Linked DNA regions of Alligator mississippiensis. The protein of the gene in region 2 purifies or fractionates together with the protein of the main gene of each other region. This does not show direct contact. Links are inferred from orthologs where the notes say so. Each region holds a gene or a part of one and is shown on either strand. Other genes may lie near its edges.

Evidence for each region.
Region 1: the proteins of ADRA1D (region 2) and UTRN purify together in Homo sapiens (tandem affinity purification; 4 studies listed by BioGRID and IntAct, with this or other methods). This does not show direct contact. The link is inferred for Alligator mississippiensis from reciprocal best matches to the Homo sapiens genes ADRA1D and UTRN.
Region 3: the proteins of ADRA1D (region 2) and DTNA purify together in Homo sapiens (tandem affinity purification; 4 studies listed by BioGRID and IntAct, with this or other methods). This does not show direct contact. The link is inferred for Alligator mississippiensis from reciprocal best matches to the Homo sapiens genes ADRA1D and DTNA.
Region 4: the proteins of ADRA1D (region 2) and SNTB1 purify together in Homo sapiens (tandem affinity purification; 4 studies listed by BioGRID and IntAct, with this or other methods). This does not show direct contact. The link is inferred for Alligator mississippiensis from reciprocal best matches to the Homo sapiens genes ADRA1D and SNTB1.

What each region holds. Positions count from the first base shown.
Region 1 is NC_081824.1:124,454,598-124,462,313, forward strand, and holds the start of UTRN (utrophin), read left to right. Parts: upstream 1-4,611; 5' UTR 4,612-4,626; coding exon 4,627-4,720; intron 4,721-7,716.
Region 2 is NC_081825.1:8,461,038-8,468,594, forward strand, and holds the start of ADRA1D (alpha-1D adrenergic receptor), read right to left. Parts: upstream 3,061-7,557; 5' UTR 2,685-3,060; coding exon 1,724-2,684; intron 1-1,723. UniProt on the Homo sapiens protein: This alpha-adrenergic receptor mediates its effect through the influx of extracellular calcium.
Region 3 is NC_081826.1:79,295,294-79,302,783, forward strand, and holds the start of DTNA (dystrobrevin alpha), read right to left. Parts: upstream 3,135-7,490; 5' UTR 3,128-3,134; coding exon 3,046-3,127; intron 2,947-3,045; exon of another isoform or gene 2,943-2,946; coding exon 2,861-2,942; intron 1-2,860. UniProt on the Homo sapiens protein: May be involved in the formation and stability of synapses as well as being involved in the clustering of nicotinic acetylcholine receptors.
Region 4 is NC_081826.1:22,274,618-22,282,644, reverse strand, and holds the start of SNTB1 (beta-1-syntrophin), read right to left. Parts: upstream 3,204-8,027; 5' UTR 3,123-3,203; coding exon 2,597-3,122; intron 1-2,596. UniProt on the Homo sapiens protein: Adapter protein that binds to and probably organizes the subcellular localization of a variety of membrane proteins. May link various receptors to the actin cytoskeleton and the dystrophin glycoprotein complex.

The DNA.
Region 1 (7,716 bases), on a different chromosome or scaffold from region 2:
TGTGCTATTGTTCCTGCTCTCTACTAATGTAGATGGGGGTAGGTGGGGGGGGAAAGGAGGGGAGGGGCGGTAAACTCATTGTGCCCCCAGGCTGGATCTGTACTGCCAGGCTCCTCACAGGCTGGATCTGGATATGGCAGCATGAATGGTTGCAGAGATTAACACAGCTGTTGCTCATCCCCCCACATTGAAATGCATTGCAAACAGGGCTGTGTGCCTCCTATTTTGGCAGCAGGCTCTGAATTCCTGGCTCCTCTACTAGCCATGTGGGACATAAGTTTGACACCCCTGCAATACATGATTCTTTGTAAATCATACTATTAACATGATTTTTTTTATATGTACTGGAAATTTTACTGATACAGTATTTATGCCACCTTTATTGAAAGATTGGGTTTTTGAAGTAGAACTTGCTCTTGAACACCTGAAAACTCTTTTGAAAGTAGTGCATGTTTTAGTTGGTGGGTAACATCATAGTCAGTCAGGAACATATTGGATGAAGTGTTTCATTTCACTTGCATGTAGTTCATGAATGTTACTGGGCCAGTAGTGTGCACATTAAGTAGGAGACCGTACCGCAATGGTCATTGGATCAGTGGAAAACTGTGGGTCAGGTCCAATGAGAACATAAAGAGGGCTAATATAAGTGTATGTGAAATTTTAATTTAGCATTTATAAATGTTCTCCCATTTACTTTCATCTGATTAGAAGTTTTTTGGGGGAAGGGCTATCTTTCTTCCATACTAATGTAGATCCTACTGTGTAACTGGACTTTCTAGGCATTGCAGTAATATCCATAGATTTAAATATGAAGTCTTGTTTTCTACCTCATGTAATTTTTTCCCCATTAATATACAATCTAATTTACAGTTACTAAGGTACAAATTATGGGTTGCACATGCAAACGTTTGGGGAAGATTGTGTGGGAGTTTAATGAGACTGCTTTCTTGATTTGTGTGCTTGTATTATAGGACCTTCAGTTTTAAATAACTCTTAATAAAACATGTACTGGCATAAGAATCAATTTTTTTTTCTCTCTCTTCTCCCCCCCCCCCCCCCCCCCCCCCCCCCCATGACAAGCTGGTCTGAATCACGGAAAAACTTAATTGGGAAAAGCTAATCAATCTGAAAAATGAATAAGAGGGATTGAGGGAGATGATCCCGATGCGAGAAAAAAGAGGGAAAGGGGCCAGGAGGCTTCCTTGGCTGACCAGAGAAATCCAGGGCAGCCTGTGGACTAAAAGGGGAGCATATAAAAAGTGGAAACGGGGAGAGATTACCAAAGAGGAGTATACCTCCTCTGCTCGCACTTGTAGGGAGGCAGACAGGCCAAAGCTACCATGGAGCTGAGGATGGCATCCCAAGTAAAGGATAACAAAAAATTGTTTTTTAGATATATAGGGAGTAGAAGGAAAGCCCAGGGTGGAATAGGACCCCTACTAAATGGGCAGAAGCAATTGGTGACAGACAGGGGGGACAAGGCTGAACTCCTCAATGAGTTCTTTGCCTCAGTGTTCCTAAGTGAGGGGCAGGACAAGGCCCTCACTGGGATTGTAGAGAGGCAGCAGCAAGGTACCAGACTACCATGCGTAGACCCTGAGATGATGCAGAGTCACTTGGAGGAACTGGATGCGTTTAAGTCGGCAGGCCCGGATGAGCTCCATCCGAGGGTACCGAAGGCACTGGCTGACATCATTGCACAGCCACTGGCGGTAATATTTGAACACTCATGGCGCACGGGCCAGGTGCTGGAGGACTGGAAAAGGGCCAATGTGGTCCCCATTTTCAAGAAGGGGAGGAAGGAGGACCCAGGCAACTACAGGCCAGTCAGTCTCACCTCCATCCTTGGCAAAGTCTTTGAAAAAATTATCAAGGCTCACATTTGCGAGAGCCCGGCAGGGCAAATTATGCTGAGGGGAAACCAGCATGGGTTTGTAGCAGGTAGATCATACCCGAGTAATCTAGTCTCTTTTTATGACGCAGGAGTAGGGGTTGATGTCGTATACTTAGACTTCAGGAAGGCCTTCGATACGGTATCCCACACCATACTGATGAACAAGCTAAGAGGCTGTGACTTGGATGACTACACAGTCTGGTGGGTGGTGAATTGGCTAGAGGGTCGCACCCAGAGAGTCGTAGTGGATGGGTCGGTATTGACCTGGAAGGGTGTGGGCAGTGGGGTCCCGCGGGGCTTGGTCCTTGGACCGATACTCTTCAATGTCTTCATCAGCGACTTGGACGAGGGAGTGAAGTGTACTCTGTCCAAGTTTGCGGATGACACAAAACTGTGGGGAGAAGTGGACACGCCGGAGGGCAGGGAACAACTATAAGCAGATCTGGACAGGTTGGACATGTGGGCGGAAAACAACAGAATGCAATTCAACAAGGAGAAATGCAAAGTGCTGCACCTAGGGAGGAAAAATGTCCAGCACACCTACAGCCTAGGGAATGACCTGCTTGGTGGCACGGAAGCGGAAAGGGATCTTGGAGTCCTAGTGGACTCCAAGATGATCATGAGTCGGCAGTGTGACGAAGCCATCAGAAAAGCTAATGGCACTTTATCGTGCATCAGCAGATGCATGATGAACAGATCCAATGAGGTGATAATTCTCCTCTATCGGGCGCTGGTCAGACCGCAGTTGGAGTACTGCGTGCAGGTTTGGGTGCCACACTTCAAGAGGGATGTGAATAACCTGGAGAGGGTCTAGAGAAGGGCCACTCATATGGTTAAGGGCTTGCAGGCCAAGCCCTATGAGGAGAGACTGGGGCACGTGGACCTCTTCAGCCTCCACAAGAGAAGGTTGAGAGGCGACCTTGTGGCTGCCTATAAGTTCATCACGGGGGCACAGAAGGGAATTGGTGAGGTTTTATTCACCAAGGCGCCCCCGGGGGTTACAAGAAATAATGGCCACAAGCTAGCAGAGAGCAGATTTAGATTGGACATTAGGAAGAACTTCTTCACAGTTCGAGTGGCCAAGGTCTGGAACGGGCTCCCAAGGGAGGTGGTGCACTTCCCTACCCTGGGGGTCTTCAAGAGGAGGTTAGATAAGCATCTAGCTGGGGTCATCTGAACCCAGCACTCTTTCCTGCCTATGCAGGGGGTCAGACTCGATGATTTATTGAGGTCCCTTCTGACCCCAGCATCTATGAATAAAGAAATAAAACAGGTAGAAATATGCCACCATTCCTAAAATATACTTTAATGCCAATATCTGTGGTAAATTGGGTAGTATCCTTTCTACATGGACTTTTCCTTCTACCTTTTTCCTCTCTAATAAACTCTTCTTTAATCTTTTTAATCCCAGTTACCTCAGTTACCTGTTGTTACTTACCATTTACCATCAGAAATATACAAAATATAGCTTGTGTTAAAGCACGTGTAACCATGACTTTCATAAGCATGTTTCAGAATTAAATTGAAGCACTTTTAATCTGCCATTTCTGAGATTCAGCATGCTCTTCTGTTGACCATTTGAAGGGTGGGAGCGGAGTTGCATGTTTTCTGTGTGTATGCGCTAAATGTAATTTTTAACTTATCGTTAATTTCAGGTATGTACAGTTGTTCCAAACCAGGGTCAGATAAGGAAATGGACCAGGGTTAGGCTGATCTAAATGCCCAATCATTCAAGTGCTCAGAGGTCTTAAATTGGGCAAAAAAGGCATGCCTGATTTAAATGTTGTTCACCTAAGTAGGTGTACAAGCATATATTGATATTCTGCTAACCTGATTTAGGAAACCTGAGCTTGTGAACATCTGCATGTGTTTATGGTGCAGCCCCAGGGCTGGGGAAGCCCCAGCCACTTTCCCCAGCCTGGGGCCATGCTAGTCCCCCTGCCCCACTAGCTGCCTATACCTAGATTGGGTGTGGTGACCTTAAGATTGCTTGGAGTTGATACTCTGGCATTTGTCTTGGTGTGTCTACTTCATGATGATCTTATCTTTGTAGCTTACATGAAAACAAACGTTGGGATTTTCATATCAGCAGTGGGGTTTCACCAGCGATCTGCTAAAATGAAAGGAAGATGTAGTGCTTAAATTCCTTGTACGTCTTTGAAATACCCAAACTAAAATATGTAACTGGTACCTGCCTTCAGAACAGTTTATTACAGATAGCTTTTCATAGAAAAAAAAAAATCAGAGAAGCAAAGTGCTTTATCAATGGTCATTGTTGTTTGTAGCTAACAGGAGTATGTATACAGCTTTTAAAGGACGTTGCTTGAAACTTCAGCAGGCTATTTGTTTAGAACAGCAGAGGGCAATCGCCACAGGTTCTTTCCTACCTTCAGCCCTGTAGAGTTTTTAACTTGCTATAGTTTTGAAAACAGGAAGGAAAAGAATTAACTTTTTGTTAAGAACACCCAGCAGTATATTGGTACCTTTATAAATAGGGACCTCTCTCTAATCATTTGAGCCCACATTGTTTGCATATATTCTTTAATACTGAAAAGTTTACTTGTTTCCTGAGTGGCTCACACTGTTGCAGTTTGTCAAGTTCTCCTCTTAAAAAAAACAAATTCTCCCCTCCCACCCTCCCTTTCAAATCCCAGCATGCAGTTCTCATGAGTGTACTTGCAGGCACTTCCTTTCCATCCTCATTTTCCTGTTTTTAAACATAAAGCTTGAACATGAGCATCCAGACATGTAAAAAACTTCAGTGGAAAAAGCATATGTTTTCTATGCCTGGGGATATTGACATCCAGGCTTGCTCTCTTCTACCAGGTGAGTAAGTATTTAAGACATAAGTGTATTTTCAAGACCAGAGGACAAAAAAAAGTAAATGAATGTTATTTCTGTCTACCTTTATCTGATGTAAGTTTTCTAAGTCTAATAGCAACATGTCATTGAAGACAGGCAGGAAACAGTCCAAGGAAAAGACGGTTTACAATCTGCTGTTTGTGGCACAACTCCGTTTTAAGTACTGTGTGAATTGTGGCTGGCTAAACACTCTCAGATCCGTTCACCTTCAGCTGTTTTTTAATCTAAATATTTCTTCTCAGCATACATTTGGTGAAAGTTCTCCTATTCTTTCACTGGTTGGCTTCCTTTGAAACCATGTAAAAATTAAACATGAGAGGAAGCTGGACAGTTTTGCTAATGTTTCTTTTTATCAGAAAGGAAACTACATCATTTTCAGTTGATGATCTTGTTGACTGCACTTTTATAGTGTTCTGCTCATTGTGATTGCTGAGCATATTGAATTAACATACATCCTTAACTTCACCACCATTTACATTCCAGTAAAGATGAATGAAATCTGATGTAATGAAAAATAAAGTAGGTGGACTTTTGGTAGAGAAGAAACTGGGACCACTCTTTCTTTTTTTGTTGAGACTTTTTAGGGATTGCTAGTTCCAGTGGTATGGGGCCAAAGCCAAAAAAAACGTGACTAGCAGAGCAGTGTCAGTGTGAAGACATCCACATAGGTGAATCTCAGTGTTCTAGATGACATTATGCCTCTGACAGGGCATGGTATTTCAGACCTTAAGGGCCTCATGCCAGTCAGCTTGGAGACTGATTATTTGATAATATAAAGTGACTCCATTGACTCCAAACTAGCTAAGCAACAGAGAGTTTAGCCCATCTGTTTTATTTCATTTCAGTTTTGACCTGAATTTTGGATACTAGAACAAGAGAGGAATTTCAGATTTTAAGTGAAGTGATATAATATGATCTATTTACAGTCTCATAAATATGTACATAGATCTGGAGCAATGGAGCTGATCTGGTGTTTAAGCAGAATAAATGAGATCTGCATCTAGCCCTTATTCTTTTAAGGGCCTAATCCAGCCTAAACTTCCATTTTAGCTGATGTAAATTTCTGGGCATGCTCAGTGGATTTAGTTATAACTTTACAAGTGCCTTGAGATCCTTTTGAGGGTGCCATAAATTGCCACAGAATGTTAGCACTGTTAAGTTTACAAACATGATTCACAAAAACCCAGAGATTTCCTATATAAATCCATAGTCGTGGTCTTTCTGAGTTTTTTACAGAGAAAAAAAGCTCTGTTTTTTTTCTGTAGTTAAAAATGAGTGAAAACTAGTTGGCATTTTCTGAAGGGTGCCTCAAATATGTCCAGGGATGCCTCCGGTCTCAGAAGATTGAGAACTGCTGCACTAGGGAGCTGTGTGTTCACCCTGGCTGAGAATCATTGCTCTAGTTATACACGGATGAGTTTCTAAGCGTGCTCAGTCCAAACTGTGAATAGGGATGGAGTACAAATGTAAACCCTCCTAGTTAAATTTTTGCTAATTGCTTCTCTAAGTGCTAGATGTGTGTTAATATGCAGAATTTTGTGTTGGTTTAAAAGCTTCTCGTAGAGAGAATTAGCTTTCTTCCCATAAGGTTAAAGTTCATTACTGCGCTGTCAAATTCATTACTGCATTGTCCAAAATATCTGTAATGCTCATTTGGAGTGTGTGAAGGACATATACATTGACTGGGAACATCTATGTGTGCATTAATGCACTTTTCCTAATATGCATTAAATTTAGTGCCTCCAATAAGAGGTACTAAATAAATGCGCATTTAGGTTGCACTAATGTGCAGTAGTGTAAGCACATGCTTTTTAGGTGATGCTTAATGTGCAATAGCTTATTCTATTGCTCATTAGCATATTAGCACTTTTTTTATGCACCACTTTAATGCACAGTAGAATAGGCTGCTGCACGTTAAGGCACACACAGACATGCCACAGATACTTTAAAATGACCCCAGGGAAAGGAATTAAAATTGATAGAGAAAGATTAGGATAGATTGGATTTGGGAATGGGGAAGGGGGAGGAAGAGAACACTGGAAACTAAATAGAAAAGCTAAATGCAAATAGTTTCTCAAACTCCATTTCGTTCAGTTTTGAAGAGAACAAGCAAGCTGAAATATTGTAAGGATGAAAAAAAGAGAAGTCAATATGAGGGTAAAATACCCTTCTGAGTATAGGTGGAAAACAAAAGAATAAAATAAAATAAAATATTTTATTTTGTTCTTTTATTCTTTTGGGGAATAAAATACAGAAGGTGGGAAAGCGTAGATGTAAAGTTTTAAACAAGCTTAGAAAGCATGTTGTATGCAGTATTTGGTTATATGGTTTACTTGTGGCTAGCTGTTTCTAGAAAATGCACAAATTTGTAAATGTTCTAGGCTTAGGCAGGGCAGAGGAGTGACTCGGTTCCTTTTTGGAAGCTGTAGTTAATCCTGAATTTCTTCTTAGAAGTCTAATATTTGACAGATTTGAGTTAGGGACTCTCAAGAGCTAGCCAACGCCCTGTATCCATACCTTGAATTAAACACAACTCCTGTCTCTCTCTCATCTCTCTCTTAACACCCAGAGCAAAATAATCTTGGTTAAGAAAAAATTAATTTCTGAGTGCCTTGTGCCTTTAAAAACCCCATAGCTAACTGTCTGCAGTCTCTTAACAGACATTCTCTTATGATTTAGCTATCTATTCTCTCCCCGCTTGTTCTGAATTCTGTCTCAGCACGTTTACAGGAACTGCGTAGTGCCTGCCTGCGTCCTAAGGTCTACTGTCCTTATGCCTTCATACTTGGTGAGCTCACTGCCTTCCAAAGGGGATGAAAATTCAGAACAGTTTTGTTTATGACCTTTTGGATAGTTACGGGATAATTTCTGTAACTGTTGCTTCTACTTATGGTTGACTGGACATATGAGGGTTTATTACTATACTAGATTATAGTTTATCTGATTTAATGGGATGTTGT
Region 2 (7,557 bases):
CTGTATCCTAGATCTGACAGGCAGAGCCTCCGATCCCTTGGCACCTCCCTGTAGGGTCAGATGACAACAGGATGGAGGGGGGGGAAAAAGTAGCACGGATAGCGTCAAAAAGATGCATTTTGGCCACTGCCTGACCCTGTGGGCATCCCTGCAGCAGTAACAGAGGGCATGAGATGGCTTTGAAATGTCCTGGGCTACAGGATTTCTCTAAAGTGGTTTCCTTTCCTGAGTTGTGTGCGTGGGCTGTGGTTGGAGAAGGATGGCTCGCAAAAGGGGGGCGCACATAAGGACTATGCTGAGCCATGCTGATTTACAACCACTGAGAGTCTGGCCTATTACAGTACTTCTGTTTGCGGGGGGAGGCAGGAAAGACAGCCAGGGGAACTCAAACTGCCTTTACTTTGCAGACGGCTTGGGCTGCTCCAAGGGGAAAATCCATCTAAGCAAGGTGCTAAAAGCTGAGTGTGGAGCCGGCAGCTCTGGTTCCCAGCAGGACAGAGGCGGCTCCCACTGCGTTACAGAAACACTGGCAGCAAGATTTTAACACTCAGAATAAAACCTGGGAAGATTTGCCAAGGGGAAGGGGAGGGGGCAATACTTATCCTAACGCAGCTCTGCCCTGTAAAGCATCTCAGAGCATGCCCGGCATCGGTCCCCTCTCTGGGAGGTGGGCATGGACTGCATGCCTTTTACGCACAGACACCCCGAAGCCCAGGGAAGTTAAATAACTCTCCCGATGCATCAGATCAAACCTCAAGCAGATTGAGTGTTAGGACCCAGGCACTGAGCAGAGGACGGCTGAGCCAACAGCACCTGAAACCCGGCAGCTTCACAGGGTCTCCAGGGAGTGAAGGCAGAACAGGGATTTCCCTTATTAAGGAGCATCACACACACTGGTACGAGTCAAGGCAGAAAGAGGCTTCCCTGCTCAAGGCTTCCCATATAATGATATAACACATGGGTTGCCCAGGCCAGGGGGCTAGCCCAAAAATCCTCCTGTCACTTTTACAGCCATACTCAAAAGATGGCCTCTCCATTTGCAAAGGTGATACCTGCTCTGTAGCCCATCAAAGCCAACAAGAGTCTTTCCATTAACTTCCATCAGCTTTGGATCAGGCCCTTTTTCCATCGGCAGCTCTGACAACTTACCTGAGGGTTGCAAGGGGCTGCCCGTCAGGAGCCTGTCACGGGGGTATGAGAAACTCAGACAACCCACAACAAGGAAACAGTGGAGAGGGAGCTAATACAAATGCCTCGACACTCGTGGTGCAAATGAAACATCAGGTTTCATTCTCTGCACGTGCCTGCCTGTGCCTGAACTTCAGCGTGCCTGTCAAAACCCTCCTGCTCTTTCTGGGCAGTTCGGAAAGCCTGTAGCAGCAAGTGGGCAGCATTTTTGTGTTCCTTCTCTACACCATGAAGTCAATTTGTGATAGAAAGTAGTGCCTTCATGGTGGGCATAATTGAAAGGCTCCAGAATGGCTGGCAGGAGCCTGCATCAACTCTGAGGACAGAGCTGTTTCCACATATTGCAAAGTTTGGAGCTGACTGATTTTAACTCCAGATTAGAGAAGGGCCCTATCCCCCAACCTTGCCTTGGGAGCCTGGAAAGTTGGCCCCTGGAGGACCTCAATAAGGGTGGGAAGGGGAGGATACTTCTCTCAGGTGGGGATCAGACACAGCGGGCACAGGGCCATGGGGGTTGGGGGGTGGATTCACTTACCGAAGGGCAGGACGAAAAAGAAAGGGAACCAGCAGAGGATGAAAACTCCCACCACAATAGCCAGGGTCTTGGCCGCCTTCTTCTCGCGGGAGAACTTGAGCAGGCGCACGGAGAGCGAGCTCCTGAGGTTGTGCCCCTTGTTCCTGGCGCTGGAGAGGGAATCCTCCAGCACGCTCCGGCAATGGATCCTCAGCACCACCTCCATGGACTTGCTCCGCTCCTTCTTGACCCCCGCCTCCAGGCTCTTGGTGGTCCGCCGGGCCACCACGTAGATCCTGAAGTACATCACCAGGATGACGGCCAGGGGCAGGTAGAAGGAGAAGAGAGAGGAGAAGAGGGCATACCCCGGCTCCTCTGTGATGCTACAGATGCTCTCGTCCGGCGGCGGGGGCTCCTTCCAACCCAGCAGCGGCCCGATGGAGATGACCATGGAGGAGAGCCACACCACCACCAGGATGACCACCGCTTTCCTCTCGGTCATGATGGCCGGGTACTTGAGCGAGTACTTGACGCCGATATAGCGGTCCACCGAGATGATGCAGAGGCTCATGATGGAGGCCGAGCAGCACAGCACGTCCACCGCTGCCCAGATGTTGCAGAAGATGCGACCAAAGACCCAGAAGCCCAGCACCTCCAGGGTGGCCGAGAAGGGCAGCACCGTGGTGCTGAGCAGCAGGTCGGCGATGGCCAAGTTGACGATGAAATAGTTGGTCACCGTCTGCAGGTGCCGGTTGCAAGCCACCGACAGGATGACCAGGATATTGCCCACGATGGCCGAGAGGATGAAGAGCGCCAGGAAGACCCCCAGCCCCACCGCCTGCAGGTCCAGCCCCGGGCTCAGCGACGTGCCATTGCCATCCGCGGCACCCTCGTCCCCCGGCGCCCAGCTGCGGTTGCCCGGGCTGGGCGCCGTCTGGTTGCCCTCGGGCGCGCTGGCATTAAGCGGGGCGGGGAAAGTCATCGTGGCCGGCACCGGACTCCATGGAGGGCAGTGCCCGGCATCCTCCCCCCAGCTGCCCCCTGCCTGCAGCCCCCCACCCCGCGCATGGGGGTCCCAGCCCGGCTCACCTGCCCCCGGGGGTCCAGCTGCAGCCGCAGAGACACGCAGCCCCCGTCCCGCCCCTACCTCCCTCCTGCTGCCCCCCGCATCCCCGCAGGCAGCAGGGGGGACCCCGAGCCGGGGGCTGCAGGGCAGCGCCGGCTTCCCAGGTGCTCAAACTTTGCAGGAGCCGCTCGGGGAGGCAGGGAGGGAGCGAGGGAGGAGCTGGCTCAGCCTCCGCGCCCGCGATTGGAGCGGCCGCTCCGCAAACTCCTCCTCGAGCCGCGGGCCGGGCGGGGAGCGCAGGGGAGGGGGAGCCGGCAAGGCACCGGGGTGCTCGCCCTGCCCTGCCCTGCCCTGCCCTGCCCTGCCCCGCGCCCTCCCGCCCGGCCGGCCGGGGGGATGCAGCGGCGGCCCCGCGCACCGCCCCGCCATGCCCGCGCCGGCCGCCGGGCGGCAGCAAAAGGCCGGCTTTGGCGGCCCCCGCGGGCTGCTTGCATGGAGAAGGGGAGGCATGTTCAGCCCCCTGAATGGGGGATGCTCCTGCCCCAGGGATGCACTGCGCGGGGGGCAGCCCCGGTCCCTGCCCCGCAGCATCCTTCAGCACCAGCCTCCCCTGTCCCCCAGCACCCACCTATGAGCATGTGCTGCGCACCCTGCGAGACCTCCGCAGGGCTGTGCCAGGCGTGCCCGACACTGGAAACAGTCTCCAACCCTGTTGGCAGGATGCAGGAGGAGCAAGAGGGCACGCAGGGCTCTCAGCCCCTGCTAGTAATGCCCCACCATCTCCACAGCACCCCATGGAGATGCCCCACCATTCCCAAGTACCCCATGGAGATGCCCCACCACCTCCTGGTACCCCATGGAAATGCCTTACCATTTCCCAGTACTCTGTGGAGATGCCCCCATCACCTCCGAGGACCCCATGGAGATACCCTACCATCTCCTGGCACTCTGTGCAGATGCCCCACCATCTCTCAGCACCCCATGCTGATGCCCTACCACCTCCTGGCACTCTATGGAGATGCACCACCATCTCCTGGTACCCCATGGAAATGCCTTAGTATTTCCCAGTACCCCATGGAGATGCCCTACCACCTCCTGGCACTCTATGGAGTTGCACCACCATCTCTTAGCACCCCATGAAGATGCCGCACGATTTTCCAGTACCCCATCGAGATGCACCACCATCTCCTGGTACCCCATGGAAATGCCTTACCATTTCCCAGTACTCTGTGGAGATGCCCCCATCACCTCCCAGGACCCCATGGAGATACCCTACCATCTCCTGGCACTCTGTGCAGATGCCCCACCATCTCTCAGCACCCCATGCTGATGCCCTACCACCTCCTGGCACTCTATGGAGATGCACCACCATCTCCTGGTACCCCATGGAAGTGCCTTAGTATTTCCCAGTACCCCATGGAGATGCCCTACCACCTCCTGGCACTCTATGGAGTTGCACCACCATCTCTTAGCACCCCATGAAGATGCCGCACGATTTTCCAGTACCCCATGGAGATGCACCACCATCTCCTGGTACCCCATGGAAATGCCTTACCATTTCCCAGTACTCTGTGGAGATGCCCCCATCACCTCCCAGGACCCCATGGAGATACCCTACCATCTCCTGGCACTCCATGCAGATGCCCCACCATCTCTCAGCACCCCATGGAGATGCCCTACCACCTACTGGCACTCTATGGAGATGCACTACCATCTCCTGGTACCCCATGGAAATGCCTTACTATTTCCCAGTACCCCATGGAGATGCCCCACCACCTCCTGGCACTCTGTGGAGTTGCACCACCATCTCTCAGCACCCCATGCAGATGCCCCACGATTTTCCAATACCCCGTGGAGATGCCCCACCATCTCCTGGTACCCCATGGAAATGCCTTACCATTTCCCAGTACCCCATGGAGATGCCCCTATCATTTCCTAGTACCCCATGGTGATGTCTTGTATCTCCCAGTCCCCACACTGGCACCCTTCCTTCTCCCATGCCACCCCTCCCAGCTGGCACACCCCAGGTGCTGCAACACCAGCTCATGGCTCGATCTCAGCCTGCAAAAGAGCTGTCGGGAAAGAGGACCTCCTTCCAACTCCAGAGGCACAGGGGAGGAGGAAAGCCCTTGCTAGGAGGGAGTGTGTGGGCTGGGCTGGGATCCTGTGTAATCAATAAGTCACCCTCTGTAATTGTAACTCCCTGCAAGACTGCGAAACAACAGATTGTGATGGAAATGTATAGGCACTTGTTTGTGACTTGTTTACATGGTCTCTTTTCCCACTGATAAAAGCAGATCCTGTTTACACTGATTTATTTCTAATGAGCCGTCCCTCCAGCCCCCATACGTTATGGCAGGAGAGTGACCTGTGTGCTCTGCTGGAATTGTTCCGAAGCCAGTTTTTAGCGCACACAGGAAATATTTGCCTTCAGTCTGTTTATCTTGCATTTTAACAACCCTCTCTCTCTCTTTTCAGTCAAAATGACTGATTCAGTGGCAACATAAATGCGCAGGGAGGCGACTTGAGCTGTAGCCCAAGCGGAGGTGTGTACTCATTTGAAGATCAAAGCTGGACAAAATTGCCCATTTCCTTGAAAAAGATAGTGGAGAAAATGTCAGTTTTCATTTTTTTTTTACCTGAAGATTTTCCTCTTCCACTATTTTAATTGTGGAGTTGGGAAGAAAGAAAACCCAAAATTTCTTTTTTTTTTTTTGTGCTTTTCTCATTGTTATTGCAAACTCACCAAAAACCAAACAAACAAAACCCCAGCTGAAAACCTTCCATTACTGGCCAAAATCTTTTTTTTTTTTTAATATAGAAATGTTTCAGGGTCAAAAACAATCTATCAGCATTATTATTTAGCATTGTTTCTTGCTGGGAAACGAAGTTCATCTTGGTATCATTTGAGTTTCAGGATATTTGTCGCCTTATCTGCATAGCTCTAGATAGATTCCCCCTCCAGATAAATGTATCTAGTCTGATCTATTTATTTTCCCATAGAGATAATGAAAACACATACATTTTTTCCACAATTAAGGCTGAGCAGATTTTTTTGCTGTAGTGCAGTATTCAGTTTGAAGGCAGATGTCACTCATAATCAATATGGCACCATAGGGTAAAACTTTGATTGTCTGGAGCCCTTAGGGCTTGTCGGCTTGCAGAGTTGCAGTGGCGTCACTGAACGTTCGATTTTAAACTGATTTTGTTCAGCTGGTCCAAGGGCTGGGTGGAAGACTTGGAGTCATTCATGGGTTAACCAGTGGTACATCGTGCTGCTCTAATTTAAAAATGCTGCAGATATAGAAATACAGGGCTGGAAAGGGTCATCTCCATCAGTCCTTGATAACCACACATAACACTTCCCACCTTAGGGCCAAGTTTGCTGCTGGATAAAACAGGCTTTAAAATACCTGCTTGTCAACCTGCTTGGCAGTGAGAAGCCCCAATATGATTTGGTCTAAGATTATGCCTCTGACTTGACCCCCCCATCCATGTGTTCATGGCCAACTTTCTATTTAAACTGGGATTACTTGGTTTAGAGAAAACTGTTGAGGAAACAACCCACTCTGTAACCCAAATAACCCACTCCTGAGTGTCCACACTCACACTTGCCCTGGCTTGATTTGAGGTAATGTGCAAATCTGTGGGTAGACAAGACCAAAAAACACCAATCCGCTCAGTTCCTGATTTGAAGGTGCAAAATCTTTGCCTTTTGACAATTGAGGGTGCTTGACACATACTTGCTCAGTCTCCTCTAGCTTCCATTTGACTTCATACGTACCACTTGGCATGGCGGGCAAATGCAGAGCCAAAGACAGTCTTGTGAAGGGGGCGGCTTTTACAATTAAAATAAGACATTAACAAAAACCCCCAAAACAGCCCATCAGTTGGCTCCTATTATTTGTTGTTAACATTTGTATAGTAGGAACACCACAGGAGGCAACAGATTAAACAATTATTTGGAAAAGGGACGGATTTAAAAAAAATATTAAAAAACCCCAAGGACTTCACATTTCACTCAGTCAGATATGTGCTCTGAGACGCTTCCAAAAGCCACAATGGGCAATTATGGTAAGTGGTTTCTAACCTTAGGAGCTCACGCATTCCAGAAAGGTTAAAAAGGCCACAACCAGCACAGGGGGAATGCTGGGAAAGCACTGGATGACTTGGGTTATGCGGCTCTGTGTCCAAATGAGAGAATTGTGCTGACAAGTTGAACTAAGTTCACTTTTAGCTTTATTGCCTCTCTTGCGTGAACCTGCTTGAGTGAACGGCTCTGCCAAACTTGAACGAGGCTTTTGCTTGTGGACATGAGTTGAGTTCAGGGCAACGTTTGAGCTATGAAGCTCAAATGACCTTTAAAGGAGCGATCCCCTTTGCGTGGTTCAGGCAATTCAATGAGGGTGCTTATTACCCAGTCCCCTGATGGGAAAAGTGGAGCTGGAACAGGTTTCCATCTTACAGCACATTGCAAAGAGGGCATTTCAGTGGTAGGAGCGTGGACAAGCTGGAATATGCAGCCAGTATGCGATCTGCTGGGCTTAAGTTTAATTTTGTAGCAGCAGTAATATCCCTGTGTAGAAAAAAAGCAGAATCTCAAGGAAAGGGAAGAAGGAAAGAAAAGCTTACGAACCAGTTGAACGGTTATATTTTCAAGATGCTTCTTAGCATAGCCTGGAAGACTCCATTATTAAGGCTGCTTTTGATAAACGGTTACAAAACGTCAGGGTAGAAATTAGTTTGGATCATGGGGAAAAGCATGCAAGAGCCAAAGGAGCGTGTGCTG
Region 3 (7,490 bases), on a different chromosome or scaffold from region 2:
TTCTTTGTTTCTGATGGAGGGTGATGGCATATTTGTTTATGGCTTTTGTTCTTCACAAGTAATTCCCTCTGACTTTCAGTTGTACAAAGAAAATAAGACTGAGCTTCTTTTTACACCAAACTGTTTCCACTGACTTCAATTCAGATATATTAGGATAATGATGCTGACCCTTTTACAAGCTGAAGTCAAAAGAATAACACTAGTATACAAGTGGTATGAGGAAAAAAATTGCTTTACAGACCCTTTCATTGTCAAAAGCAAACCAACCAAGCAACCAACCTCCACTTCTGACCTTTTCTAAAACTTAATAAATTTCTACCCAACAGTTTCACAGACACCATCTTAATTTTCAGCAATTTGTAGGTTTTGAAAATCAACAGGAGTCCACGTGGGTGTAAGCGACTCATCAGCTAAATTCAGGATCAGGGCTTGACACAGTAATAAGTAACAGGAGATGCCAGTATGTTTGAGGATGCATCGTTTTCTGCAGGCTACCATTGGTTTATACAAACAATAATGCACAGAAATTGTTCATGGAAATTATTACACATGAACACAACTAAGCAGCCACATACACAATATTAATTTTTTTATTTATATGCTCAGTTGTGGTTGGGGGACAATTTTGTATTTACTCTTGCCATTGCAGAATTATAACAACATATTCTGGTTAAAACTATAAGTGAACTATAAGTTCACTGGTTAAAACTGTAAGTGAACACTTTAAGTGTTCAGGACACAACATTTGTAATTTATGCATGATATTTTAGTGGAGGGGATTAGGTTTGGTCTTCAGTTGTTTAATATTAAATTCTACCTCTTGATATATCAAACATTTTAAAAACAAAGTAGATACTCAGGCAACCACACACCCACACACTTATAACGTATTTCATACATTTAAGGCAATGTATTTGATATTGCCTAAACAGGGAATTTAGCCATTGACTTCAGTAGGAGTAAGAGCAATCTCCAAGAACTGTCAGTGGAGCTGTTATCTTTTAAGGGGTACTGAAAAGTCAAACTAGTTGTGAAGGTGGCTTTTAACACACGCTCATACATTCTCTGTCAATAAAGCAACAGTAAGTACAAGTACACAGCACTCTATACCACTCTTTCATGAATAGTGTATTGGGTGCTCCAAGTATGACAAAAACCTGCTAGTACATATGCCCACCACTGCTGGTGATACAAGTGCTACATCCTGACATTAAATTGAAAGTCTGGGAAACTGCTGTTGGATTCCACAGCAAAGATAGGATTAAAAGTGAAAATCTCTGCCTTTTTTTCCCCATGATGATGACATCATTTCCCACACTGACAACAATAAAGTGAGAAATAAAGGTAAAAAAGAAGAGTAAGTTACATAACTTCAAGCTTGCGACAGGATTTAAAGATGAGAAATAACAAGCTTACAATATTGCTTCAGCACTTTTTACTTCACAAAACTCATTTGAAGACCTCTTAGGTCACTGATATTTATCAGGATTTATTAAGTGGCATTTATTCACATTAGGGCTTTAAACAGTACTGAAAACATTGTAAATGCTGACAGATGGATCCCAACGCATATTTATGAGGTTCATCTGACCACAATACCTCTAGCACCATTTAATTTTAGCATTTAATAATTATTCCATGGCATAAAAGATATCCCACAATGTTAGGAACTAGTCAATCTGTAGTAACTAGGATGTTTACTGTAAATGACTGAAGTTAGTAAGTTAGCAAGTAGGTAAATAATTATACATACAAGGATTATATATGATCATATATTTTACAATAATTTATTTATCAAGCATTAGCTTATACAACTATATTTCATAGGATACCTACAACAGTGTTCCCTGACATATTTGTTAAGAAATAAGAGACTGCACACTGTTAAATTCAGGGGCGAAAGGGAAATCAGGACCTGCTCTTTGAAGTGTTTGATTGTTACGCATCTGAGCTTGATTCTTTTCCCTTTTCATTCCTCCACTAAAATCCATTGTATGTGCCCCCATACACAAATACAGTACAATGACCAGGGTCATAAACAGAACAGCCAGTAGGTATAAAGGCCAGTGGTAGGCAATGTGCACTTTTACTACTGGAAAAAAAAAGACAACAACTACTGAAAAACTGAAGTACAGCAGAAGTCAAAAAACATTATGTCTTAGGCCTATGACAGTTTTCCTAAGCTTCCTCGCACCATACACATACACACACACACACACACACACACACACATATGTGTACTCCCTTTCTCCACATGAATGCATACCTTGGTGGTATTTCCTAATGAAATACCTGATGCCCAATAGTCACCAGCCATTGTAGGAAAGAGAGCTCTTGCCACAGGGATACTCAGCAGCAGGCATTGAGTTATGACCCTTGTTTCCCTCTTTCCCAAAGAATCCAGCATCAGCATCTCTCCCTCCATCTCCATAGCAGGACCAAGACCAGCTTGGGTATTCGCAGCCAGGAAAATCGCATGCCTAGCGACCAAGCACCGTACCCAGGGGAGCCGCACCGGTGTCTATTTAGCTAGATTTAAAAGTAGGCAACAGGCTGAAGCTCCCTCCCTTCCCGCCCCTCAGCGCATCCTTCCCCTTAGCCATTTCCACTGAAACCGCAGTGCATTGCAACACTAGCAGCCGCCTCTGGCTCAGGAATATTCATCCCCCCCCCCCCCCCCAGTACTAAATACTCCTCAGAGTCTTTGCAGTGGTGGGAAGAGTCCTTAATGGAGGCTTCAGCATCCTCTGCAGCCCTTTGGCTTTTGCATGGGGGCGGTGGGGGGGGAGTGAATAAAGGGAGGTGGGGGAGAAAGTAGAGGTGAGGGACAAGATGAGTGAAGGAATGAATGAACTGCTACCTCCAGAAAGGCTCTGTGGGTTGCTGCTGCTGCCTGCTCCTGCTCCTGCTCCTGCTGTCACAGCGGATCAGCTGATATTTACCTGTGAGGTAATGCACACTCTGTAAGGTCACCATGCACCCGCTGAAATACAGTGCAAGGCAGCAGGGACGCAGAGAGAGGGAGCTGCTGCCGCCACCGCTTACCACACTGGAGCGAGGAGGATGCACCGCGCCTGCTGCTGCTGCTGCTGCTGCTGCAGCTCCTGGCACATGCTGCAGGTGTCATAGCAGAAACTGCCCTGCCTCACCGAGTCCTCATCTCTTTTCTGCGCCTGCGCCAACCCCCTGGCGGGCATGTGCGAAGGCTCCGCGCATGCCTAGTGGGAACGTGAAGCTCAGATGAAGCCGCTGCCCTTACTCCGCCCTTTGCCCGGAGCTTCCGTGAGGTTCTCTTCCCCCCGCCTCCCTCGGAGCTTGGCGCCGGGCGGGCGGGGGGCGCAGCGCGAGGGGGTGACGTATTGGGGGTGGAGGTGCCGGGCGGGGGCTGCAGGAGCCCTGTGCAGGATGATGTCATGTTTTGTTTGGCAGAGGTTGCTGCGGGCGGAGGAAACCCTCCTCTCTGATGGAGAGGGGGCTTTTGGCTTCCTCCTCGCCCTCCCGGTGTGCCAGTCGCGCCCCACACTTGGCACTTTGTGCCCTCCTTTGCCAGCATCTGAGGGAGGGAGCTGGGCTTCCCCCGCTCTCCCTCTCTCCCCCTCATTCAGGCTATGAAGATGCATCTCTGCTCTGCCTCCTCCCTTACTTCAGGCTCCTGTCATCCCCTCGTGCCCAGCACAAAGGGGGACGATTCCTCTGCTGCAGAAGCGTCTGGCGGATTCCTTCCCGCAAAATGCCGGGTGGCGGTGCTGGGCAGGTCACCCCGGCCCCCTGGCCGTGGCAGCCAAAGCCCTGGGGGGACCAAAAACGTGAATAAGGGCTTGCCGTACAGTAATTTTGGGCTGCTCCTAGAACATCTTAACCCCGGGATTGTCCCCACACCTTAGGGTGTGTACAGAAGTGCTCCATGGACATTTTACAGGACTATAATTCAGAACATTTTTCACAGCACTGTACAGTTACAGTGCTCTTCACCAGGATAGAAGTGCAGTGTTTGCGGGGGAGGTCTGAGCCTCCCTGCACTTTCTGGGCTAGGAGTCAGGGAGTGCTCTGCAGCCTCCTGGGGCTTCTCCACTGCTCAGAAATTTGACCAGCATATATAATTTATTTAAAGCACTGTAGGTTGCTAAAGTGCTGTAAAATACCTCATTTAACAAGGGTTAATGTAAAGCACTGTACCCATTTTGAAAGTGCTATAAGGCCCTGCACTTCTGTTCAGTCGCGGAAATAAAGTGCTTTAAATGGCTACAGAAAATGGCAACCAACTTCTGTACACACTCTTAAAGTGGTTTTAAGCACTCATTATGCAGCTCAAAGTTATGCTACTCCAGGACAGGATTCTCTCTGATCTGCCCTACCCACCTCCTGTTCCATTAAGGCGGGGCGGGCAAAATGCAACCCGCAAGCCGGATGTGGCCCACCAGGCCATTTTATCTGGCCCGCGGGGGCCCCTAAAAAATTTAGAAAAATACTATTTATCTGTCCCTGGCTGCCTGTCATGCAGCCCTCGATGGCTTGCCAAAACTCAGTAAGCGGCCCCCTGCCTGAAATAATTGCCAGTCCCTGCATTAAGGTGTAGCCACTCCCCACAGATGTGCCACCCAAGTTGAAGTCCTCCAACATCCCAAGATCTCACACCCCTGCCTGGAGAGCAACCAATAGTGGCAAAAGAACAGGTTAGGGACTATTTAGCAAAGCTGGCAATTACAAGTCCATGGGGCTGGATGGGATGCACCTGGGGGTGCTGAGGGAGTTGGCTGATGAGACTGCAAAGACACTGGCCATAATCTTTGAAAACTCATGGTGATCAGAATAAGTCCCAGATGATTAGAAAAGGGTAAACATAATGCCCATCAAGAAAGGGGAAAAGGAGGATCCAGGGAACTATGGACCACTCAGCCTCACCTCAGTCACTGGAAAAATTGTGGAACAGATCCTCATGTAATCCATTTCTAAGCACTTGGAGGAGAAGACGGTGGTTAGAAACAGTCAGCATGGATTCACCAAGGGCAAGTCTGGCCTGACCAACTTGATTGCCTTCTACGATGAGACGACTGGCTCTGTGGATGCAGGAAGACCACTGGATGTGGTATATCTTGATTTTAACAAGGTTCTTGAATAACATTCTCACAGGCAAGCTAAGAAAGTATGGGCTGGATGAATGGACTGTAAGGTGGATAGAAAACTGGCTGGAGCATTGAGCTCAGAGGGTGGTAATCAATGGCTCGATGTCTAGCTAGCAGCCATTATCAAGTAGAGTGCCCCAGGGGTCAATCCTGGGGCTGGTTTTGTTCGGTATGTTCAACAACAACCTGGAAGATGGCACAGAGTGCACCCTCAGCAAGTTTGCAGATGACACCAAACTTGAGGGAGCAGTAGATATGCTGGAGGGTAGGGCTAAGATTCAGAGTAATTGGGACAAATTGGAGGACTGGGCCAAAAGAAATCTCATGAGGTTCAACAAGGACAAGTGCACAGTTCTACACTTTGCACTGAAGAATCCCATGCACCAGTACAGGCTGGGGGCTGACTGGCTGGGCAGCAGCTCTGCAGAAAAGGATCTGGGGGTTACAGTGGACAATAAGCTGAATATGAGCCAGCAGTATGCCCTTGTTGCAAAGAAGGCTAATGGCACACTGGGCTGCATTGGTAGGAGTGTTGCCAGCAGGTCAAGGGAAGTGATTATTCCCCTCTTTTCAGCACTGGTGAGGCCACATCTGGAGTATTGTGTTCAGCATTGGGCTCTCTACTACAAAAAGGATGTGGAAATATTGGAGGGTAAGAAAAATAGTGAGGGGCCTGGGGAATATGACTTACAAGTAAAGACTGAGGGAACTGGGCTTATTTAGTCTAGACAAGAGAAGACTGAGAGGGGATTTAATAGCAGTCTTCGATTACCTGAAGGGAGGTTCAAAAGAGGATGGAGCCAAACTGTTCTTAGTCACGGCAGATGACAGAACAAGGAGCAATGGTCTCAAGTCACAGCAAAGGATGTTTACACTAGATAGTAGGAAGAAATTTTTTACTAGGTGGGTAGTAAAGCACTGGAACAGGTTAACCAGAGAGTTGGTACAATCTCCATCCTTGGAGGTTGTTAAGACCTGGCTAGACAAAGCTTTGGCTGGGATGATCTAGTTGGGGATGATCCTGCCTTGAGCAGGGGTTGGACTAGATGACCTCCTGAGGTCCCTTCTAACCCTAATTTTCTATGATTCTATGATAGAAGCCTATTCTGGCTCACCAGCCCTATAGTGTCAACTCATACCTTCAGCTCCTAGTCCTGCCCCTGATCACCAGGCTGCCAGTGGCAAGTCACAGTGGTACAGATGGGGGACAATCAGACAAGGTTTCTAAACTAAGCTTGTGACTGATCCAAACTCCAAGCTAGCATTCACACTGATCAACATTTGTGCATCTTACAGCATAAGATGCAACAAGGCCCTAATGCTGTCACAACCTTACCCCAACAGCATTGTCCTTTGGAGATGGAAGCCACTGGAAACAGCAGCCCCTCTGCTTTTTCTGAGAGCTAACAGATATTTGAGCCCACGTCTCCCCTTTCACACACTTCTTGTAATGCTTAATTAATTGGGGCTTCAGAACCTACCAGCCAGAAGGATTTAGACCCCATTCTTGCAAACAGTTGTTTACATGCTTAGCTTTACTCCTATGAACAGTTTGTCAATGGGACTGCTCACAAAAGCAAGGTCAAATATGCTTGTGTTTGTAGGGTTGGGGCCTCAGGAAGGCTATAGGTCCATAGAATCATCAAGAAGTAGGGCTAGAAGGGACCTTCAGAGGTCTGATGGCTTGATTTAGAAACGTGATGAACCCCAGAAATTCACACTTACTTCAGTGTTTCTGAAAATCCTGATATTTAGATGGCCAAAGATGGGTTTAGGAAGCCACCTTTAAGCACTTGTTTCCAAGTACTAGAATTCACTTATTTTCCCCAAACACAGTTTATCTTACCTGTACAAGAAGCATTCACTGTTGTCCGGATACCACAAGATGCCTAAGGAACAGGGAGTGTGGCACTATGCTGCATCACTTTCTTAAATGTATATTGCCTTCAACCAGCACACACTACCTGAAAACGAAAGGGTGGTATCTTTATTACAAATATAACATGCACTGTTTAAAAAAAACACAGTATTTTAAAGTGGTTGTCTTTTTCTGGTCTGCTTTCACAGATTTTCCCATCTGGTTTCGGCTACATGTGAAAACTGTGACTTGACAATGTGTATAATTTGTTAGATAATGCAAAAATAACCCTTGAGGTTTTGATCCTGCAAAGCACTACTCATCACAAGACTTTTGGGTGAAACTGTGCAGACATGAGGGTCAGTGCTAAATGGACCCTGTTGTTGTTCTGGGATTTTAATTGACAGAAGAGCAACATGAAGAGATGACAGTGTCAATTGGGGTAAAGAGACAAGAAACTGGGTAGAGGGATGTAGAAGATACAGTATCCTGTGAGATATTTAGTGGTT
Region 4 (8,027 bases), on a different chromosome or scaffold from region 2:
AGGACTGACTCTAGCATGTCGTAGCAGCTTCTCTTCCTATACAGCTTGATGCTTTTAATACATCACTCGCTAGGAAGCTTTATGGAACTGCAAGTAACCCATCCAGGGCACAATCCCATTCCTGCTGCAGGCAACTGCAAAACTCCCATTGACAGGGACAGAAGCAGGAACAGCTCAGTCAGATCTGATGCAAAACACACTTGTTCTCCTTTCAAAACAAGAGAAAAACGTTTATTCTGCCTTTCTTCAGGTCAGAAACAGCCTGCTTGAAGCTGCCTTGCTGAAGAAGGAGCTTCAAAGTGGGAAACTGGATCTCACTAAGTTATTTTACACTGCTTACACAAGCCATTCATAGAGCAAGCTTCCTTACTGAAGTGAACAGCGTGTCCTAAGGGGACACTGTGGGCAATTCTTATTTCAGTTCCTGCCACAGACGCAAGTACACTCTGGTCCAAGGCAAGCCTTTCAGTGACAGAGCTGTGCATAGTAGTATGTTAAATATCCATAGGGTTGACTATTCAAATATGCCTTTGCACATGAACCCGTACTGCTATCCTGGCACAGAAGTAAGAGCCAAAAGACACCAGCATTCATTTCACTGGATCAAAGAACATAAGGCAGCAGCTGCAATCACTTTAAGAGAAGCGGGGGCAGAGGGGACAGCAGCAGACAGAGTCCATGGTCAAACGGCCTGATCTTTGCTCCCACAAGGAACAAAACTGACTCTTTTACAAGTGCTGCACAGCTGCAGCATGTCTAGACTAGCTTCTCGTGTGTTACACAGAAGAAAAATGCCTAAGAAAGTAGTAGTGTTTGCTTATGTCAATCATTAGACAACACCAAAGGTCAAATGCTGTCCATATTAGTACCCACAGAGCCCCTGGGCTTCATGGGTGTAACCAATGACACAATTTGGCCACAGCAGCCTCTCCCTTTTTCTCTCCCTCTCTGACACAGAAGATGCCTTCATAAGCTGTGAAGCTAGATGAAGGGGACGGTTAGATCCTCTGGACTTAGTGCTGGCTAATTCCTCCTGATCCACAGGATGTACAGTTACTTTCCACTGCAGAAGATGCAGAGCAGATCAATGGGTTGCTCATTTTTTACTGCCAAAGACCCCGCTAGAGTTTACTTTTCCTCCCCAACTCCCCAGAGAAGCTTTTACGGCATTTCCTTTTCATACCCCACATTCAGTAATTTGCATGCGACCTCAAATGCACCCCTGAGGCTGCGGTCCAATTCCCCATGGCTCCGCAAGAGGGTCCCAAAGTTCCTTAGTAATTCAAAAGCGGCACATCAGAAGCTGCTGTGGTTTAGAAATATCAGAAGGACCACTTGAAAAATGACTGAGCAAATCTATTTCAAAGCAAAACAGGAGATAAAGAAAAAAAAAATCCAGAAGCAGGCGTGTCACACCGCTCCACAAATGCCAATGACCCTTCGATAAATGAACTTACGTGCAAACAAGCAGGTACTTTAATCAAACATGGGCACCAAGGGCATTTTCTCTCTAATGTACACCGAGTTTTTTTCCCCTTCTTTTCAGCTGTTCCTTCTCTCAAATCTAGTAAATACATTAACCCTCCAGCAAAAAGGGGGGGGGGGGGTTAAACTCTTCTTTTTCTAAGCCTGAAGATTTTTGTTTCTGATCCTGAGCTCATTGTCCCCTGTTTCGTACCCTTGGAGCGCTTGCTTTCAGCTGGGTGTCCTCGGAGGTGTGTGCCAAAGCTTTAGAGCACTGTGCATGTTGGACTCCGTCTCGAGGGCGGTTTCTAAAAGGCTGTCTCGCGCTTGGGAAAGGAAAGTCTCTGCTTTGCGTGTTTTGAAATGAATGTTTCAGGGAGACCCTGGCCAGGTCCCCTCAAGTTTATTCTCTCCCTTTGCATAAACTGGGGCATTGTGCGCGTGGGGGGCACATTTCAGTCGTTCCAGGCCAGGCGGGTTGGCACAGCCCTGCACGACCTGATCTGCTCGTTTCTCTCTCCTGGCTGAGTGAAAGTGGCCGGGCTGTCAGCCTCCGAGATCCCAGGTGCTGTTAACTCCTCCCTGCCCAGTCAAACCTAGCGCTTGCCTGGATGAAAAGGCGCTGGTGCCGCTTTCAATCCACACGTGGGTCACTGCAGAGACATGGCACAAGGCTCAGCGGGCTGGGGTGGCACCTACACTTCTGGTGGCCCCGGACGAACTTTTAGTATTGCCCCCCTTTGCCAGAGAGAATGATAATCATAATTAAAAAATACCATTTTCAGGCCCCCTTTCTGTCCAGACCCCGAGCGGGTGCCTGCGTCCGGCCCTGGCCGAGGGGGCAGAGCTCAGAGACCCTCAGCCCCCACCCCACTTGCCCCTGGCACCTCCAGGGCACAGGCAGCAGAGACCAGCCAGCCTCAAACCGGAGTCACTCCATTTAAGCCCTTCCGTGCCGCACACAGCACTCATGCATCCTGGGGCTAGGGGGGGACCCCCAAGCACATTAACCCTTTACCTTCCAGCAGGGACCAGCCAGCCCCAAACCGGAGTCACTCCACTTAACCCAACACACGTGCACCAGGGCTGGGGGGGGTGGGGGGGAACCCTCCTCGGCGCATTAACCCTTTACCTTCCAGCAGCACCTCCTTGCCCGCCCGCTTGAGCGCCTGCACCGCCTCGTCGTGCGTGGCGTCCCGCAGGTCCGTGCCATTGACAGCCAGGATGGCATCGCCCACGTACAGCGCCTGGGTCTGGTCGGCCGCCAGCCCCTTGAAGATCTTGCTGATGAGGATGGGCATCTTGTTCTCCTTGCCGCCCTTGATGCTGATGCCCAGCCCGCCCAGCTCCTGCTTCAGCACCTTCACCCGCCGCTTCTGGTTGGACAGGCTCTCGGGCACCTGCTCGGGCGGGTCGGTGAAGGCGGTGCGCACCCCCGCCGCCGTGGGGCTGCCGCCCGGGGACGCCCCGTTGCCGCCCAGGCCGTTGTGGGCCGCGCCGTCGGGGCGCTCGTCGCAGCTGAGCACCAGCGCATCCTCGCCCAGGTGCACCAGCACCCGGTGCCAGCGCTCCCGCACCAAAACTTCCAGCCAGCCGCTGCGCTGCGCCCGGCCGCCGCCCGCGCCCGCGCCCGCGCCCGCGCCCGCCGCTACCGCCATCTTTGGAGCATTCTTAAAATACCATGTGATTGCACACACCGGCACCCGGCACGGCTCGGCGCGGCGCGGCTCGGCACTGCACGGCGCGGCGCGGCGCAGCGCGGGACTTCGCTCCGCGGACGGGGCGGGGCGGGGCGGGGCGCGGCGGCCCCTCCTCCTCCTCCTCTTCCCGCCCTCCCCCCAGGGGCTCCGGTGCCGAAGTTGCAAACAGGGTGGCAGGGCTCCTCGTCCTCGGCCCGGTCCCACAGGTGGGAAGGGCGCCCTCGCCGGAGCGACTCGCGACCCGGTGTGAACGGCAGCTAGAAAGAGGCGCTGCGGCGCGGGGCAGCTCCGGGGGACGCGGCCGTCCGCGCTGTGAGGGGCCGCGCGGGTCGCCGGCACCGGGGCCAGAAGGGGAGGCTTGGTTTTATGACGACAGGACTAATGACACGGTGTCTTGGGGTGATTCTTGGTCGAGTTGGGACTTCTAGGTAATAGAGGACATCGCAAGTTTTCATGGGCACTCCAATAAAGTGTTTGGGTTTTTTTTCCTTCCATTTTAAATTGAGTAACTATAGCTCCAGGCCCCTAGCTGATTAGTGAAGCTTCTCATTTCTTTTTCACTGGAGAAACGTGTACGACACCATCTGCACCCTTTTTCTCAAAATCCTGGATCCACCCGTCATTACGGTGCTATTTGGAAGAGTGAAGTTGAAAGCAGTTACAGCGACTGGGATGCTGTCTTTCTGGGACAGAGTGACTGAGTTTAAAACACGCACACATACACACAGACGTACACGCTCTCACACATTTTCTCCTGGGGAAATTTGCTGGGGATATTACTGTGATACAACCTGCTAGGAAAAACAGCCAAAACAAATCCGGTTCAACGCCCCCCACCAAAGCGTGATCCCACAAGCTGCTCCATGTGCACACAGCTGTGCTCCCAGCATGGGCAGCTCTGTGCACAGCTGCTTGCAAGACCCGAGCAAGAATCACAATGTCTGTCATCCTGGTACAAACCATCGGAAAAAAAAACAGAGAAAAGACGAACTTAGAGAATAGAAGATTGTTAAAGTCAGGCTCTTACCAGAAAGCAAAACAGGGTTAATTCCTTCACTGAAAATACCCACTATCCCACCTGGTATGATGAACCAGAGAACTGCTGGCTCCTTTAGCTGAATCTCAATTGAAGCAGCTTCACTGGGAGAAAGAAACAACCCGTGGATCACGCATGACCTAAGTTGTTAAGTGCTTTATAATGTCACCCTCCATTGCCTACTTGCTGGATTTTTCAACAAACATCTTTATGCTTCATCCAAGTGCTTCTCATGTGGTAAGTATCCACAAAGCCACCTCATTACCACCCCCCTTCAGATTCTTCTTGCGACTCTCCTTTGCTGCGATGCCTACAGAAAACTCAAACAGGCAAGCTGGTGATGTACTATATTGCCTAGCGTGCTGATCAATACTCATCCTTTACATGTGCTCACCTGTTATATGTGATCTCTTGTGTTACAGTTGGTTTACATGATGAACTCTCCTGAACAAATTCTGTATTTGTATGTTGTCTAACAACATGGGATTCTGGTACGTGGCTAGTACTCCTAAAGACCGTGGTAATAAAATAAATAAAAACAACATCTTCAAATGCACCTTGAATCTATATGAAACCCAGAGCAGATTGTCATGCATAGGTGTGGAGTATTATTAAGCAATTGGACATCTGTGCTCTGCTTTGCTTTCTGGGTGGTCTTGAGATGTAGGCTTGTGTAGACAGCATTGCAGTAATTAAATCAGGAGATAACAAAAGCATTAATTGCAATAGTGAATTCAATATCTGAGAAGGCTGTGCAACTTCCTGGCCAGGCAGAAGGAAAAAAAAATCCAGAAATGGTTGAGAATTCAATAAGTATCTTAAATTGTTAACCAGGGTAGCAACGAACATATAACATCCTGTTATTACTTATTTGTATTACAGTAGTACCTAGTGGTTCAGCCACGTTCTGGAATCCATTGTGCTGACTGCTGCATGTATTATATGGGACAGCCTTAGCTCCAAAGAGCTTGTAATCTCACTTATCAACGGTGGGTGAAACAAATAAATGGAAGGGATGTGGGTGGCTTAACTTCCCTGGTGGGTGGTGAAGGTATAGCTGAAATACACATTTTTTCTCAACACTGTATGAGCCTGTTTCACAGACTAACTGCATAGAGGCAGTTGGTCAACAAATAGAAATGACTTTTGAAAGAAGTAGATTTAAATAAGTATAATTATACAAATGAAGAAGGAGATTTCATGTACAGTAAAAACTAAAGAGAAAGTTCCAAGTTGTTTCAGTGTCCAGATAGACAATTATTTATTTTAGGGAATAAGCACAGTTCAGTTTCTTTTGTTTGCCTTTTGGCTCTTGTATTACATTTACAAGTTTACTTTAAAATTCTGAGGGCTAAAAGAATAATTATTAGTGACCAACAAGATTCTCAGGCAGTCTCAGAAATATGAGCAGAAAAGCTCCAAAAATTAAGAGAGCTAACAGCATGGAATATATTGGGTCACCAAGCAGTGAGCTGAGGCCACTTGGTCATTATGCTCAGGCCAAAGAAAGAACTATGGTGATTATTTTCAGCCATTACCACATCAGTAATTAAGATGTATTAAGGACTGGTTATAAAAATAACCAGTTCATGAACCATCACTTGGTTAGACCTCTTACCCAGTGTTGGTTTTACAGTAGTGTAATGATTCAGGATCTGTCTCTTTTGATTATGCATGTAATGGACAAAAGGGGCTGTAACATCAATAAACAGTTTGGAAAATCTAGGTTACCTTGGTTGGGAAAGGTGAATAGTATTTGTCCTTTTCTAATGCCTTTCTTCTAAGGCCAGGTACAGACATTACACTTTTACTGGTATAAGTGATTGAAAACTGGTCTATACCTGTAACAGAACAGAAGTTTGGCACGTAAAACCAGTTTATGCCCATAACAGAACAGAAGTTCAGCACGCACAGACTAGTTTAAAAATGGTCAAAGCCAGTCTAAACCCAGTCAAAGCCAGTCTAAAAATGGTCAAAGCCAGTCCCCCCTCCCCAACCAAAGGGACTATATGTGTTTTGTTTGCTATCTATCTAAACAGCGCCACTTAGAGAAAACCGTGTAACGTTGATTCAGCCTCAGGCTTTTTGAAGCCTAAGTGTCTCTCACTCCTTCACAAGTATTAGCTAATTTTCCTAATACCCTTATGAGGTGGATTGTGGGGTAACCCTTCCATACTTCAATTTTCCCATCCACAAAATGGCTAAGGCCCAGATTCACAAATCTTAGGCACCTTGGTCCAAAATATAGATCCTCAAAATCCATGTTCATCTATCATCTAGGCCTGGATGTAACTCTGGTTTTCATATTAAAATTCTGTTCTGAACGTGGCATTATACAAGAAAAGGTCACTAGAAGAGAGCTCAGGAAGTTTCTAGTTCAGCCCCTTGCACAAGGCAGGATCATCCCTATATAAGCCATCCTCGACCTAACCTGCACGTCAAACCTGACCTTAAAACAGAAGCCACAGCCCCTGTTCTGCCTTGGTCGTAACAGGATTGAGCAGCTTGGCTTCCATCTCACGCCTCAGCCTCAATGGGTTCTCTGTAAAAGGCGCTCTTCCCCGTCTCGCTGTGATCCAGTAGGTGCTCTCAGAGCAGGCCTATTCCCTCAGGCCCTGAAAAACATGCAGAGCCCTTTTCCTTCATAACACGGCTGGAAGAGGAGCTGCCTCCCCTCCTTTCATCCAATAATCTGCTAGAGTGCTCACTCAGGATATGAGTTATTTCCTTCTCTTCCTGAGGGGATTCAAGCCAACATATACCATGTCCTGGAAGTGTCCTCCTGTTGATGGGTTATTTTAGAAGGATGGAGAGAACAGAAAGCTCTCCTTATTTCTCTTTCATGTTAAAGCTGCTTCATTTTGCATAAAGAAAAATAAAGATTCATTGAGAAAAAAGAGAGCATGAGCCACATGACTCACTAGCCTTGTGGGAAGAGGAGAATACTGGGTTTCGTTCCTGCCTCCTTGCTTATGCATTTTATATTGACATCGTTCTTGGAGCAGGGACTGGAGCCGATCTCTGCTCCCACCCCTGCATATTGAGATTAGTTGTGTTGCCTTTCTCTGATTCAATGAATCTTGAAGCTGTATACTTAAGGGAGTAGAGAGCCCATAATCTGCAGGTTAGGACTCTCTGGTGGGAGAAATCAGTATAAGTTCCTTGGCGCAGAAGGAGAAATTGAATCCAGGTGTCTCTCATCCTGGGTAACTATTCTAGTCACTACTCTGTTGGATCAAATGGGTTAACTTTACCCCCTTTAACCATGGTTTAGAAAAAGAGTGACCCCTGTTCACATTTGGAAATAAAGAGCATGTATTGCTTATTCTCTAACATTAATCCAGCATGGAGGTAAACGCTTCCTGGTACTGCTGTGTAAGGGGTAGTACTAAGCCCCTCAAAAGGAGCAGGCTTTAAAACACTCTTCTTCCTTCAGTGTTTACTGTTGGCTACCTGAGGCAAGTCCCTACTGAGCATACTGGCTGTTGCACATCCCTTTTTAAGGCACCTAAGTCTGTCCTTGTATTGAATACGAGCCTAGGGGGAAGGGGTATGGATTCTGTTATGGCAGCCAGGAATTGTGACCCTGAGCACTGCAGCATCTAATCTCTTTATGGACTGGCCTATGCCACTTCTACAAGCTTCAAAACCAAGCTTGTCTAGGAGGATGCCTACACTGTGATATTCTGCAGCAAACCCTGCCTACCTTGTTCCACTTGCACACTCCACACCTAGGTAGGAATATGGTGGTTAGGCTGCTCCATATATTTCTTTGTATCTGTTCTCAAGAGTTGGGTCCCCAGTAGGCTTCTGGGCAGCTAACTCAT